Linked DNA regions of Notamacropus eugenii. The protein of the gene in region 1 purifies or fractionates together with the protein of each later gene. This does not show direct contact. Links are inferred from orthologs where the notes say so. Each region holds a gene or a part of one and is shown in the gene's direction. Other genes may lie near its edges.

The links. The genes of interacting proteins can lie anywhere in the genome.
Region 2: the proteins of EIF3G (region 1) and EIF5 purify together in Homo sapiens (affinity purification with western blotting; 3 studies listed by BioGRID and IntAct, with this or other methods). This does not show direct contact. The link is inferred for Notamacropus eugenii from reciprocal best matches to the Homo sapiens genes EIF3G and EIF5.

What each region holds. Positions count from the first base shown.
Region 1 is NC_092875.1:80,027,558-80,034,879, forward strand, and holds the start of EIF3G (eukaryotic translation initiation factor 3 subunit G), read left to right. Parts: upstream 1-4,317; 5' UTR 4,318-4,386; coding exon 4,387-4,472; intron 4,473-4,700; coding exon 4,701-4,747; intron 4,748-4,883; coding exon 4,884-4,967; intron 4,968-5,101; coding exon 5,102-5,190; intron 5,191-5,620; coding exon 5,621-5,680; intron 5,681-6,804; coding exon 6,805-6,909; intron 6,910-7,015; coding exon 7,016-7,205; intron 7,206-7,322. Other genes in the region: DNA (cytosine-5)-methyltransferase 1-like, read left to right, coding at 1,922-2,038, 2,471-2,561, 2,980-3,002. UniProt on the Homo sapiens protein: RNA-binding component of the eukaryotic translation initiation factor 3 (eIF-3) complex, which is required for several steps in the initiation of protein synthesis.
Region 2 is NC_092872.1:349,845,600-349,853,130, reverse strand, and holds the start of EIF5 (eukaryotic translation initiation factor 5), read left to right. Parts: upstream 1-4,529; 5' UTR 4,530-4,795; intron 4,796-4,961; exon of another isoform or gene 4,962-5,469; intron 5,470-6,230; 5' UTR 6,231-6,441; coding exon 6,442-6,513; intron 6,514-6,703; coding exon 6,704-6,785; intron 6,786-7,100; coding exon 7,101-7,273; intron 7,274-7,429; coding exon 7,430-7,531.

The sequences.
Region 1 (7,322 bases):
CAAATCAGCTGCTCAACTCCCCCAGGGGCTTTGAGTGGGAGTGGGGCCACCACTGAGGGCTGAGGTTCAGATCAGCTGCTCAATTCCATCAGAGGCTTTAAGCTGAACTACCTGGACAATAGACCTAGGCTGCTTCAGCATAGCCTCCTGCCACCTGCTGCCCCTGCTGCCTAGGGCCAGTGCTGAGGGAACCCCACTCCCCTCTCACCCAGCTGGGAAAGCCCTCCCACCTGACCGTTGGAGCTTTCTTTGTTGCTTGTGGGTTGAGGGATCTGGGACCCTCCCTGCTGGGTATTCTGGCCCGGGAGGTCTGTTCAGGTCCTGTTCCTCCCAATGCTGCACAGCCAGGGCTGGGCTGGGCTCTGCTCAGTGTCCCATGAGATAGACCTTTCCTGTTGGCCTTTCAGGTTACCGGTAGCTGGAAACCTCTTTCACTCTGTTGTTCTGTGGCTTCTGTTGCTTTAGAATTTGAGAGTCATTTTTTTACATGTATTTTGTGGGCTGTGGGGGAAATGCTAGAGTATATGTATCTTTCTACCCCGCCATCTTGGCTCTGCCTCCTCACCTTTGTAGAAACTTTAAAAAATGTTGATAGCCACTACCAACCACTGAGCTATAAACTGAGGCTCACCCATCACTGGCACATAACCCTATTGCTTTAGAGGATGGTCTAAGCTGGTATCAGGTTTGTTTCATATATAGAAACAGAATGAACACTAATTCATTGTTGGTGGAGCTGCGAGCACATCCAACCATTCTGGAGAGCTATTTGGAACTATGCCCAAAGGGCTACAAAAATGTGCATACCCTTTGACCCAGCAATATCGCTACTAGGACTATATCCCCAAGATATCATAAAAATGGGAAAGGGTCCCACATGTACAAAAATATTTATAGCAGCACTCTATGTAGTTGCCAAAAACTGGAAGTCAAGGGGATGTCCATCAATTGGGGAATGGCTGAATAAATTATGGTATATGAATGTAATGGAGTACTATTGTGCCATAAGAAATGATGAACAAGAAGACTTCAGAGAGGCCTGGAAGGACTTATATGACCTGATGCTGAGTGAAAGGAGCAGAACCAGGAGAACTTTGTGCACAGCAACGACCACAGTGTGCGAGAGTTTTTTCTGGTAGACTTGGAATTTTGTAATAATGCAAAAACTTCTTATAAAAAAAAAAAATCCCAAAGGTGGTTCTCAAGGCAAAATGCCTTCCACACTCAGAGAAAGAAATATGGAAGTCATTCGCAAAATGTAGCAGATCATGTTTGTGTATGTGTATGTGTCTGTGTATCATGTTTTGATTTGTTATGATTTCTTTCATTTATTTTAGTCTGACTACATAGCATGACTATAGTGAAAATATACTCAATAGGAAAGTATATGTAGAACCTATACAGAATTGTATGCAGTCGTGGGGAGGGAGGGGGGTAGTGGGGGGTAGGTGTGGGGGGGATAAAATCTCAATTGTATGGCAGTGATTGTTAAACATTAAAAAATAAAAAAAATTAAAAAAAAAAAAAGAAACAGAATGCTATTTTGAAGCCCCAGGGTCAGATTTCCCCACCTCTGAAGCTTATTAGCTATAACCCTGGGTCTTGGGTAATTCCCCCTGGACTTAAGAGAGGAAAGTCAGACTAGTTTTGATCCCCTTTACAGAAGGGAGCTCCCACACTGCCACTGGCCAAAACCCCATCCTTTTGTCTTTGTGCGAATTACAATGATCCATCTCCCAATGGAGATCCCCATCCCAGGACATTGTCTCCACAAATTTGTTGCAGTAAAGTGGTGATCCTGCTTTTGGCCATTGTGTTACAGGAAGGAGATATGTCAGTTTTATTTTTCTCTAGTGTAAGTTCATGCTTTTTAAAGAAAGCAAAACTTGGGGACTGATAGCATGGATTCTTGTGTCCACAGGGTCGAGTGATTCACCCAGAACAGCACCGACTAGTGAGTGTGCGGGAGTGTGCCCGGTCCCAAGGATTCCTAGATTCCTACAGATTCGTTGGCAGTACCTTAGAAAAACACAAACAGGTGAGTGTTAACTTCCTATAGTTATTTTAATTCGACGGGGAACACATTTCTGAGACTATTATTAGGACTATAGTCCTAATGACTATGGTTCATTAGGAACTATCAGGTTTTACTTAGTACAATTGACACTTTAACAAAATGAAGTATCTTCTTGCCAAGTGAATATCAGATACAAACTGCATTTGGCTCTCCCACCAGGAGGCAGGAGGTGGCCTTGAGGCCTCTAAGCATATAAGACCCACTTAAAGAGACTGGGGAATGGAATGAGAATTCTACATTGGAGTAAAATAGCACCCTGATTCAAATCCTCTGAGTCCTGGTCGGTGCTGCTGTCGCCCGATAGAGTGCTGAAAGCCAAGATGTTCACAGGGATCTTTCTAGGCACAGGATCCTATTGCACAACACCAAATTCTGTCCCCCTTTCCCATGCAGGTGGGGAATGCAGTGCCTCCACCCCTGGCCAAAGCCATTGGCCTGGAGATCAAGCTCTGTGTGTTGGCCAAACTGAAAGAGAAAGCCACAGGTAGGTATGGCTAGAGGACTTTCTAATGTGTGGAAAATGGATTGTGTGCTATTATATTTTAGGGGTGGCATGGGGTAGCTCAGCTATCCCTTTTTCCTCCTCTCATTGTTCATTGAGTCTAGGCAGACTATAGGTCATGGAAGGGAAATCACTTGGGAGAGCCCTCTTCTGGGTGTGCTTCCTTTACTAAATTCCAAACACTTACCCTTCAAGGTCTAAGACAGCAACTGTTATGTGGAGGAGAACTCTAGGCTCTATTTTGTCTTCTAGAGAGAGAAGTGTGTGTGTGACATTTGCAGATACTTCATAGGATTGTTATTTAACCCAAAACATTTAAAATCTCAACTTTGGCAGTTATAATACTACGTTGTCCCTTCCTATTCAAACTTAAATTTGTCTTTCATTTGTTTCTCTTCAGTTAAAATCACAGAAGAGGTATGAGGGACAGAGCTATCATGGACTACTCTTCTTAACGAGCCAAACTTTTTATTCCGTTGTACTCATGAAGCATCTACCTCCTTTGCTGACATTGAGCTGTTTTTAATGATCAAACTGTTAAACTATGAAATTGTAAGGTGATTTTATAGAGTCTAGATTTTAAAACTATTTGAATTGTCTATTAAATGTAATGTCGAGTGACTGAAATGTTTTTGCAGCTTTTATATACATTATAATAAATATTTTTAAATAATCAAGTATCTTTCCTGACTCTTACGTACCTCAAAACTATTTCTGAAATTGCTCCAGTTTTTCTCTGGCACATTAGGACTTCTGATTCAGCAGCTTGCCACAGCTTAAAATGTTTTCATTTGGAGAATGAGGTCTCCTTGTCAGAGGCATCCTCTGTTATGAAAAGACAACACGAAGATTTCTTGGTCAAAGGAAGGCAAGCTGTTTCTAGTTCTAAAGGGGCCAGGATGGCAGTTATGTCACTGTAGACATCTCAATTCCTGCTAAAACACTGGAGTTCAGCACTGTATCAAGTCACTTGATTTCTGAATACAAGTGGCGGATCCAGGATCCAAACCTCAGAACCTCAGGTTTTTTTGTTTTGGTTTGTTTGGTTTTGTTTTTTGGCTCCTTACCTAATCCCGTCTTCACTCTATCCATTGGCTTCTCCAGGTTTAGAGAGCCAGCTAGGTGGTCCAGTGAACAGAGTTCTGGGCCTGGAGCCAGGAAGGCTACGGTTCAAATCCAGCCCCACACACTTGCTAGTTGTGTGACCCGGGACAAGTCCCTCGACCTGTGCTTGCCTCGGTTTCCCCAACTGTAAAATTGGGATAGTAGCGTCCTCCTCCCAAGGTTGGTGTGAGGCTCAAATGAGATCTGTGATCGATCATCCCGGTGCCTGGCATACAGTAGGCACTTCATAAATGCCTCTCTTCTTCCTTCAAGTGCACAGCTTCTATGCCAGCTGAATTCCTTGTATCTCTCAATAGGAAGCGAACACACCGCACTCCGTCCCGCTGTCTGACCCCTCCCTATCCCCTTATTTACCATTGCAGAAGCCTCCCCCCCCACCCCCAACTATGCCTGTTTGCTCCATCTGGGGAAATGTGGGGGGGGGCCTGCTCCCCGCTGCCGTGTAGAGCAAAGTCCTCTGGTGCCTTTAGCTTTCCCACAAAGCCCGAGGCTTCGGAGCACTCCATCCCTCCGCTTTTGTAGGGGAAAGAATCGTAGGATGGGGGCGGGGTGAGGGAAAGGAAGGGGGACACGCAGGGCAGAGCAGGGAGAGCAGGGCCGGAAGGAGAGAAGCCTCCTCCACCAGGGGGCGCCGTGACGACGGAAGCGCCCGGCGGCGCTCCAGCAGAGGCGGCGGAAGTAGATGTTAGAATCCATTTCCGCTTCCGGTCTTTGGCCCGGGCTCCGGCTGCGTGGAAGATCCCAGACGATGCCGACTGGAGACTTTGAGTGAGGAAGCTGGGGCCGGTTCGGGGGACCTGGGGGTTGCGGATGACGAGGCTGGGGGCGGGAGGGCGGAGGGGGCTCTCTCAGGCCCGGGGCCGGAGCGGGAGCGGGGAGCTGATGGTGTCCCCGGCGCCTGGGCCGAGCCGAGGCCTGGACGGCAGCTCGGAGCGGGGCGAAGGGATCCCGGGGCGCCGGGGCGCGGCTTCCCTGAAAGGCGCTTTCCTCCCGCAGCTCGAAGCCCAGCTGGGCCGACCAGGTGGAAGAAGAAGGAGACGATGGTGAGTCCGGCCCTGCTGACCAGAGGCCGCCTGGCCGTCCCTTCCCCACCCCCCCTCACTCTGGCATTTCCCCTCCTCCTCCTTCCCTCCGGCCTGCCTCCCAGGGTCTAGCCTGATCTCTGCCCCTTCCCTGCAGACAAGTGTGTCACCAGTGAGCTCCTCAAGGGGATTCCATTGAGCACAGGAGAGCCCAACAGTGAGCCAGAGCTGCTACCGGGTGGTGAGTACGGCAGCCGAGAGAGGCAGAGAGGGTGTCTGTCTGCCTGTCTGTCTGGCTCCCTGCGGGGAGCGCAGGCTTTTGTCATGTTTGGGTCTCTCTCCATCTGTTCCTTTCCTGGGCTGTTTCCTCCCCAGCTCCTCTCCCTGCCCCCAAGGAAGTCATCAACGGGAATATTAAAACCATCACTGAATATAAAGTGGAAGAAGATGGCAAGAAGTTCAAGGTGGGCTACGCTGGTTTCTGTATCTTTTCTTGTCTGGCCTTTGGGTCAGGTTTGGGGACCCCATGAATGAAAAAAAGCCATTTGTTGAATGTTCTCAGCCCCGAGAATGCAAGTACAACAGGGATACAATTCTTGTCCTCAAGGTTCTCTTAATATGGGAGACCACACATATAGGGCAATGGCATCATATCTACCTTGCTAAAGGAGCGTTTTGAAGCGTTTAAGAAGTTACAGGATTGCTGTTTGAAGTCATTGGGGAGTTAATGACATATATTCTATTAGTGACGAAAGTATTGTTTCAAAGGAAGAGGTAGAATGCAGGAGTACTAGGTACCTAGTAGGGTGGTGGATCCTCCCAGTTCATGTGTGAGATTTACTGCTCACTAAAAGGATTTTTCCCCACTCCTCTCCTTTCTTGTGCATTTTCCAGATTGTCCGTACCTTCAGGATTGAAACTCGAAAGGCATCAAAGGCTGTTGCAAGAAGAAAGGTGAGAGCCATTTTGGGGTTGGACAGTGTATCTTTTCTTATCTTTTTCTTCAAGGCCCTTCTTGATGTTCTTTTGCATTACCTTATCATGGAATAGAACAGCCTGATCAAGTGGAAGGAGTTCTAGACTGGGAGTCAGGAGAGGTCTAATCCTGATTCTGACACTTAGAGCAGCTGTGTATTCTTGGGCATTTAACTTTTTTGAACTTTAGTTTCTTCATCTTTAAAATGGTCATAATACAGCTCCATCTAACTCACAGAACTGTGAGAAAATTCTTTACAACCTTAAAAATCTACATAAATGTGAGTAGTTGGACCTAATGATTTTACATGTCCTCTTAAGCTAGGAATAGTGAGGAGGCCTGCAACTTTATTGGTAGTTCTGGGTCATGTATAAACAAGGAATTTTTCTTGGAATTGGAAAAAAATTTAGGGAACAGTAACGAAAGTAAGGGAATATATAAAAGGAATAGGCATGAGAATGGATGCAGAATATGAATATTTTTCCACCTTGGAAAGATGAGAGCTATGAGTAGGCTGGATCCAAGGCTAAAATAGTTGGGGATGGAAGAACTTAAAAGCAGTCAGACTTAGAAGACAAGAATAGCCCACGGTAGGGATAATTTTGTAAACTTGTTGCCCCAAAAGTAAGTACTAAATCCATTTCAGTTCCATAGATTTTTGTTAATTACTTTTCACTCAACAAACAAGCCAATTGATAATATATCTCCTTATTTATTCCTTTAATATTTTAAGATTAACAACATGCTTTCCTCACCTCACTTCCTTCCATTTGAAAGGACTGTTTTGTTGAGGAAGGATTAGACTTGGTTTTCTGCAGGGAGGGGAGGAGAGGGACAGGAGCAGTGTATGGAAGTGGCAGAAAGGAAGATCTTGGTTCCATTTGAACTTCTCCATGTGGGCTGCCTCAGGAGGCCAAAAGTTTCTCATGACTGGAAATCAGTGACAGTTTAGGGATATAGTTTTTGTTTTGTTACATTCTAGAAGCACATTCTTCTTGACAGCTTTCTACTTCTTAAACTCCCCTGGGGAGAATTCCCAACCTGCTTTGTGATCTGTTACTCCAATCTGTCTGGTCCTATTCTAACCCTTTCCCATCCACAGAACTGGAAGAAATTTGGCAACTCACAGTTTGATCCCCCTGGTCCAAATGTGGCCACCACTACAGTCAGCGATGATGTTTCTATGACATTTATTACCAGCAAAGAGGTAATTCATGAGTACAGGATTTAGGGAGGAGGTCCTGAGGGTGGGGTGGGTAGGAGGCTCCCCCGAAGGCCAAAGCATTTCCAATCTCAACCTCTTTTCTCCCCAGGACCTGAATTGCCAAGAGGAGGAGGACCCAATGAACAAGCTGAAGGGGCAGAAGATTGTGTCATGTCGAATTTGCAAGGGTGACCACTGGACAACACGGTGTCCCTACAAAGACACACTGGGACCTATGCAGAAGGAATTGGCTGAACAGCTGGGGCTGTCCACTGGGGAGAAGGAGAAGATGCCTGGAGGTTCGGAGGTGGCACCTGGGTTGGGGGCATGTGGGTGTGTCTCTGTAGGACTTTCCATTGTGATAGCTTGTGTGACCTTGTGAATGTCTCTGTTTTGGGGCCGTGGAAGTTTGGCCC
Region 2 (7,531 bases), on another chromosome or scaffold:
TTCTCTATAGTTCCTCTGGAAAGAGCAGTTTACATACTGATTGAAAAAGCATTTTCAGAACTGGTACAACAATTTCTGCCACAGAGTCCCATCTCCCTCCTCCACACACTTTAGACAAAGTTTTTTCAGGCTTTAAAGTAAACCCAAATCATTCTAGCTGAATGCAAATTCACTTAACTAAGGAATTTCACAGTTGGTTGTTCACCTAAATTCATAAGAAATATTACTGAAAAAGAAACTAAGCTACCAGTGTCCCTGAATGTTTGGGATTTTGAGAGCAGAAAATATCTTGACAAAATAATGAGCCAAGAATTTCTTCTGTAGACCTTCTTTTGAGCCAGCAGAATTTTAAATGTCTTTGCCTCAAGTTTTACGGAGATTTTTGACCCCAGAAAGCTATTCCATGTATTTGCCAGCCCTTGTTACATAGTCTATCCCAGTGAAAATAGATGTCGCCAAAGCAGCAAAGAAATTCAGGAGAAACTTCTCACAATGCTTGTTTCCTCCTCATCCTCATCTCATTGAATGCATGGTTTGATGTACTTTCTACACCAATTGCCGAATTTAGGGGAGTGTTTTAAAGTTTTCATCATCAAAATCATAAAATCTTGTACATCTTGAAAATATCAACATCCTTAACAAAAGATTTTAAAGTATCTCAGATAAATCTCCAAATGTCACCTGAGTGATCAGAACCAAAACTCTGGGCAGATGGAACAAATTCAATCTTGGGAGTTCATGTGGAACGTTTTTTTCATTACTTTTTTCCTGAGCCTTTGCCAGTACAGCACCAGCACACTGTAGCGTCAACCTGTAGTACTCTAGTGAGACTCCTGCTAGCAACAAGGCAGGCTTAAGCTTTGAAGTTCACTGAATAATTTTAGGGTTATCTACTGACTTTGAAGAAGGCACCATTGAAAGAGTTTTGCACACTATCATGGTTGTTTCAGAGCGCAACAAATTGGGAAAGGTAATCAGGAGAGTGGATGCTGTTGGAGAGCTGAGTGAGATAGGGGATACCATGTTTCCTAGAGACATACCCAGTGTTGGGGCTATAAGGTAGTATGCTAGGTATAGTTTTATTGCATGGCACAGGTTCCTTTTTCTTCTTTGTCTTTCCATTGCTAAGACGTGAACTCTTGTCTCAGGTCTTCTTTGTTCCACTGATGAAGCTTTTATCTCAGTAGTGAATCAGGTTTGCTGCTAGTTCATATAACTGAGCTATGCCCTTGTATTTGGCCTTTATACATAAACATGAACTCTATTCCTTGGAGTGGTGCCTGTGTAATGTGCCCCTCCAGGAAGTCACATGCACTGAGAAACTAGGACACCAAAAACTCCAGAGATTTCCTGAGGGAGAGGGCAGAGAGAGGGAGAAATATTACCAAACTATTGCCAAAGATATGAAAGGACAGGATTGGCAGAAGAGGAAGCCACAAAGGGAAGGAACAACTTAAAACCTCTCTGTTGGTGCTATAAGTTTGCAACAACTATATATGTCCCTATAGAAGATAAGACTCCCCATGAGGAGTGACTGCTTGACTCAGTTCTTTTTCCAGTGGGAACAAGGGGAACCTCCAGACCAGAGGGGCACTCTTAAACACAAAATAACTCTATAGATTACTGAAGAAGATAAGGCTAACCACAGGAGGTAGTTTTCTTTACTGTGGACTTGGGGACAAGTTCTTTCTACATTTTTTTTTGTGTGTGTGTAATAAATTTGTTCTGCATTCCATGCCTTGTTACCTTAATGTTTGCAAAAGAATGGAAAACACCTTGATGAAAACTAAAATGAGCCAGATCTAGTTATTCCCAAGGAAATCCTGGGCAAGGTCGTGAACAAAAATAAGTACAATATAAGTTCCTTGAGAGCAGAGATTCTTAGGTATGTCCTTGTATACCCAGCACCTTGCACATATTATGTGTTTAGTAAGTGCCTGCTGAAGTGAAGTAAGCTGTTAAAACTCCCAAGATAGGTTGCTTGGCATAATGCACAGAGCACCTGCCTTAGAGTTGGGAAGACCTACATTCAAATCCTACCTCTGACACACACTGGTGGTATGACTGACTAAGTCACTAATCTCTCAGTGTCCCTAGTCAATTATCAAGACTATAAAATGTTGACCGAGTGCCAACACTTGCATTAGCTGAGAGAATTTCCTCATAGGGTGTTTCCTATGCCAATGAAATCACAAATCTAGTCCAAAAAAATGTAAAAAGACCAAAACTCCAAGAAAGAACACCTGGGTTACATAACTATTTCATCCAAATTCAACTGATCTCAAATAACTCCAGACACTGACCTGCCTCTCTTCACACAGCATATGATCTTTAGTATTCAAGACTACAAGAGAAATATACCACAGCACATCATCTAGTTCAAAAGGTGTACAGTATTATTTCTCTCCCAAAAGTCTTTCTATAAACAGTTAGAGTCAGATCTTTAGGAGGAACAGAAGATAACTTCTGCTGGGGAAAAGCTGCTGACATTTAATTTCTCATTCTCCTCACTGAGCTAGATTCAGGTTTCATTTTAGGTAGATAGTAAAAAAAATAACCCATGACAGGAGTGGGGCAGAAAAGAAAGAATATCAGGATTCTTAATTTGAGGTCCAATGAACTTTTAAAAAAGTTTTTCAAAATATTGATTTCCTTTATAAACCTATTTTAATATAAATATTTTTAAAACATTATTCTGCAAAAGGGGTCCATTACACAAAAAAAAGGTTAAGAGCCCCTGATCTAGAAAAACATTAGCACGTCTACTTTCCCGCCTCTTTGCCTTGGCTCTTGGCATTCCTGACTACTTACCCTTCAAAGCCTAACTCAAATCCATTCCCATGCCCCTGGTGACACCTTATTTTCTCTCTCTAATGCATACATCATGTGATCCTAAATACACTGTTGAAATATTTCTCGAAATTCTCCTTCTAGCCCCTAACCGGAGGCTAGCTTCCATGTGTCTGAGGAATAAAAGTTAAGGTTTTGTGGGGAAAAGTTTACCATCTCTCGTTTCAAATTCCGGGCCCAGAGCTAGATTCAGATTTCACCTTGGAAAAATGAGAGGCAGTGTGGTGTGATGGAAAGGTCTCTGAAAAAAACCCAGAAATAAAATGAAATTTTTTCAAAACTACTGCTTTTAGACAGAGGAAACACAAGAGCCGGCTGAACTCGGCAGGGTTCCTGCCTTGCCTGGGGGTAAAGAAAAATTAGAAAAAACACTTTTTTTCTTACAACTTCTCTGAGTAGAGACCTAAGTACCCGAGGGAGTAACCAAAGGGACACGCGGCTTGGCTCTCTTTTCCTTCCCGCATCAGAGCTTTGTGGCTGCTAATTACCCCCGCGTGCCGTGGGGCTGCGTGCCTCAACACCCACTTCAGTCGCGTTGAGTCACCCTCGGGGTGTTCTCCGAAGCAGCACCAGGACTCGCACGTGGACGCGCAAGGGAAGCCACCTCCGCGTCCCCGGCGCTGACCCCTTGACCTCAGGACGGAGGCGCCTGCGCAGTGGCAGGAAAGGCGCGCGCCACGGTTACCCCTAGAGGGGAAAGCGCGAGAGCTGAAGAAGAACCCCGGTGACCCGGTACTGGCGGCCGGGTAACGAAACCCACACCATCATGTAACGACAAACCCCACCCCCAAGAAGCGAGCCGGGGCGCCAGAAAGGCGGGGGTTGGGGGTGGAGACGGGAAGGAAAACCAACCGCCATTTTCCTCCCGCTTCGAGAACGAAACGGACACGCGCGCGCCCCGTCAATCCTCGGGACCTCCTAATACCCCCAACCCCTCCGGCTTCCGGCGGGTCTCGCGAGACTGCATGCTTCGAAATCTCGAGCCGTCTTCGTCGTGCCGTACCTTGGGGTTGCTGGTTTGGTCGAGGGGTGGGTGTGGAGAAGGGGAAGAGAGAAGACAGGGCAAGGCGGCAGACCTTGATTGACACGACCCAGCCGCTAATGGTGTGCAGACTCGAAGGGCTCACGGACCAATTGGCTGGCATGGGCGGGGGCGGAGCTTTGGGGAGGCGGGGGAGGGACGAGAAGCAGAGGCGGGCCGGAGATTGTGATTGACTCGACGTCCTGGCCAGTGGTGCGTGAGTTCGAGCGGCCCATTGGCCAATAGCTTGGGACTCTCCGCAAGGGCGGGTGTGAAAGCAGGGAAGCGAGCCGCTGGGGGAAGGCAGGAGGCCGTGATTGACAGGAAGCAAAGGCCAATGGCGCGCGGGCTCGAGCGGCCCACCAGCCAATGGGCCGGGATGGCCGGACCAGGGAAGGCGGGGCCTGGGGGGGTAGAGTGATCGCGGCGGCGGCATCGGCGTTGTTCAGTCAGAGCGAGAACATTCCAGAGGTGAGTCTGAGGTGGCTTTGGCTCCTGCCCCGCGGGGCCTCCTTACTGTAAAGCCGCTGTGGGCCTGGGCTGCCGGAAGGACTAGGGGCCCCGGGGCGGGCGGGGGGGATAGCTAGGTTGCGCTGATGCTTTTTTTTCTCGCAGGGACTGTCCCCTGCTAATGGCGCTTGGATCTCTTTCTCTGCAGGTCGCCAGGCTCCCAGGTGCCGAAGGGTGTTGCCTCCCCCCGGACGTCGCTGGGACCGCCCCCCCTTCCCCCCCGCTGGTCGGCGGCGGCACCTGGCTCGGGCCGCTCCTCCCGCTCCGCCTCCTCCTCCTCTTTCCTCCTCCTCTTCCCTTCCTCCTCCTCCACCTCCTGCTGCTGCTCGGACTCTTGCTCATACCGCGCCTCAGACACTTCATCCCAGTCCCGGGCGAGCAGCGTTGGGTTTATGTCTTTATTTGACGAAAACGGTAAGTGGAAGGCGGGCGTCGGGGCTTTGGCGGGACGGGGGCGGCGGCGGGAAGCGTGTGAGGAGGCGCCCCGGCCCTAGGGAGATGGCGGCCGCACAAAATGGCGGACCTACTTCCTCGTGACCTCCCCCCCAGTCGCGTGGCGCAGTTTACTGCGCGAACCCCCGCAAGTTGGGAGAGGAAAGGGGAAGTCCCCGGGTCGGCGGGTACGACCCCCCGCCCCCGGGAAGGGGGCGCACCCAGGCTTGTGTTTGGCGAACGGCCGGGGAGGGGGGTGGTGATCCTGGCAGCTTTGCGCATGCGCCACGCCTCCTCAAAAGCTGACTCAGTGCTTAATTGCTGCATTTATGAGTCATCCCGGCCGGCTGGGGGAGGAGACTGGCGCGGGGGAGGGGAGAGCAGAGGCGAGCTGGGCCGCGCCGCAGTACTGAAGGCCTCGCCGCCGGCCCTCGCTGGCCATTCCTTCTGGTCCTTTCTGCGGGTTGTCGCCTGTGGGTGCGGCTGCTGAGGGAAAAGGTGCCCCGATCTCGGAGATAGCTTGGGGCGAATCCCGTCTGCTTCTTAGTGTGAACAGCTCTGGGCTATCGCCTGTTAGTGCTCCGCTTCTTGATCTAGAGAGAACTTACACTTCAGGTCTTCATCAGCCTGATGTCCGTGGTTGCGTTAGGATCCAGGTAACAGTGAATGTGCAGGCACCTTTTTCAAGATAAACGGAAAATCTAGACCCGCCCTAAGCTGCTTACTTGAGTTCGTTAAGAGATTTCGTTTGGGTTTTTATGCCCTGTGTAGCAAAACGGTGACCTGTGCCTAGAATGTCCTCGTTATCTTCCTGATTTGTATTTGGAACGAGAATCTCTCCGTAAAAGTAACATAGGCTTTACACTGAGCTTAGAAATGCACTTGTATGTTTTATTTCGTAGAAATTGTTGAATAAATACCCAGTATCAGAATACTAGCTTAGACTTGTTTTCTTTATCCTGATGCGTTGAGGAAACCGGTTTGGAAAATGCAGCAAAGGTGAAATAACCTGTCAAAAATGGATACAAAGGAGAGTAGAGGGATTTAAATATCTAAAGAGACTTGATAAAAATAAAAAAAGAATAGGTATAGTTGAGGCTCTTGACTGTGGCTTTAAAAAGCAGGGGTCCCGTTATCCCCACACACACCCAAGAGAAAAGGCTATGTTGGTTTCTTGCCAACAGTTTTCTTGTGTATTCTGAATTAATCACAACATTTTATTTGGGTTTTTTAAGCCTCTTTCCCCCCACCCATCCTTTTTAGTGATTCTCTGTATACTACACTACATCATATGTAGATGTAGTTTTTTGAGACTGATAGGACAGCTTATAAATCAGCAAATGGGGGGGAGGGGTTCTTCTAGAAGTCATTAAATTTTGTTTGTTCTCTCTCACCCTACCTCCCTGTTCTGTTTCAGAGCTGTTGCGCAGCCATTGGTACCTGTATTGGGGAAATATAGCATACAAGCAAGACGCTTACAGCCTCTGTGGCAAAAACTTTTTCATGTCAGAGACCGAGAACTCTTGCAGTCGTTTATGTCATCCCTTCTTCTCCAGACAGAAGATACCAAAAAGTTGCAATCAAAGATCTCTTCATCTTATTGATAAAACTACTACTAATAAGCCAAAATGTCTGTCAACGTCAACCGCAGCGTTTCAGATCAGTTCTATCGCTACAAAATGCCCCGTCTGATTGCTAAGGTAATATTTACTGATTTAATTTTTCAGTTGGTTTGGGAGGACAGAGTATGGGTAAGTCTGAACAGCTTGGTGTTCTATAATATCTTTTGTGGGTCAAGTGGCTCTGTTAGTAGTATTTGTGTCCTTTAAATATGAAGATTAATGGTCTACATTTATAGCATGGAAATGACTATTAAACTTTGCTTTTTAGGTTGAGGGCAAAGGAAATGGAATAAAGACAGTTATAGTCAACATGGTTGACGTTGCAAAGGCGCTTAATCGGCCTCCAACGTGTAAGTAATCTTTTGAAGAAATGTGAACAAATTAAAAATGCTTGTAGTTTTTATCAATACATTTATGATCTGAAAGCTTGTGTTTTGGGCTATGGATTGAGTCATTCGAAACAATGAGAACACAGAACTAGGTTTCCATTTTCTTTGTGTTTAATTTGAACTCTTTAGTGTATGCGTGTCTGTATGTAAGCAGTATTTTTTAAAATACAGACAGCTCCTAATATGGAGTACTGGGTGGGTGGGTAGATAATAATAATGTAGTAAACAGCAGTGAAGCAAAATCTCTTAGTTCATTTACTTTTTTTCCCTCTTAAGATCCCACCAAATATTTTGGTTGTGAGCTGGGAGCACAGACCCAGTTTGATGTTAAGAATGACCGTTACATTGTCAATGGATCTCATGAGGCGAATAAGCTGCAAGACATGTTGGATGGATTCATTAAAAAATTTGTTCTCTGTCCCGAGTGTGAGAATCCTGAAACAGATCTGGTAAGGGAATTGTTTGCGCAGAAATGTATGTGTTGATGTACAGCATCAATATTAATATTATTGGGTCTTTAAAGCTAAGTACATAATCTATATGTGTAAGTATACTCTCTGATCTGAATACTGTGCTAAATTCATTTAATATTTTCTTACTGACAGCATGTCAATCCTAAGAAACAAACAATAGGTAACTCTTGCAAAGCCTGTGGCTATCGAGGCATGCTTGACACAAACCATAAACTCTGCACGTTCATTCTCAAG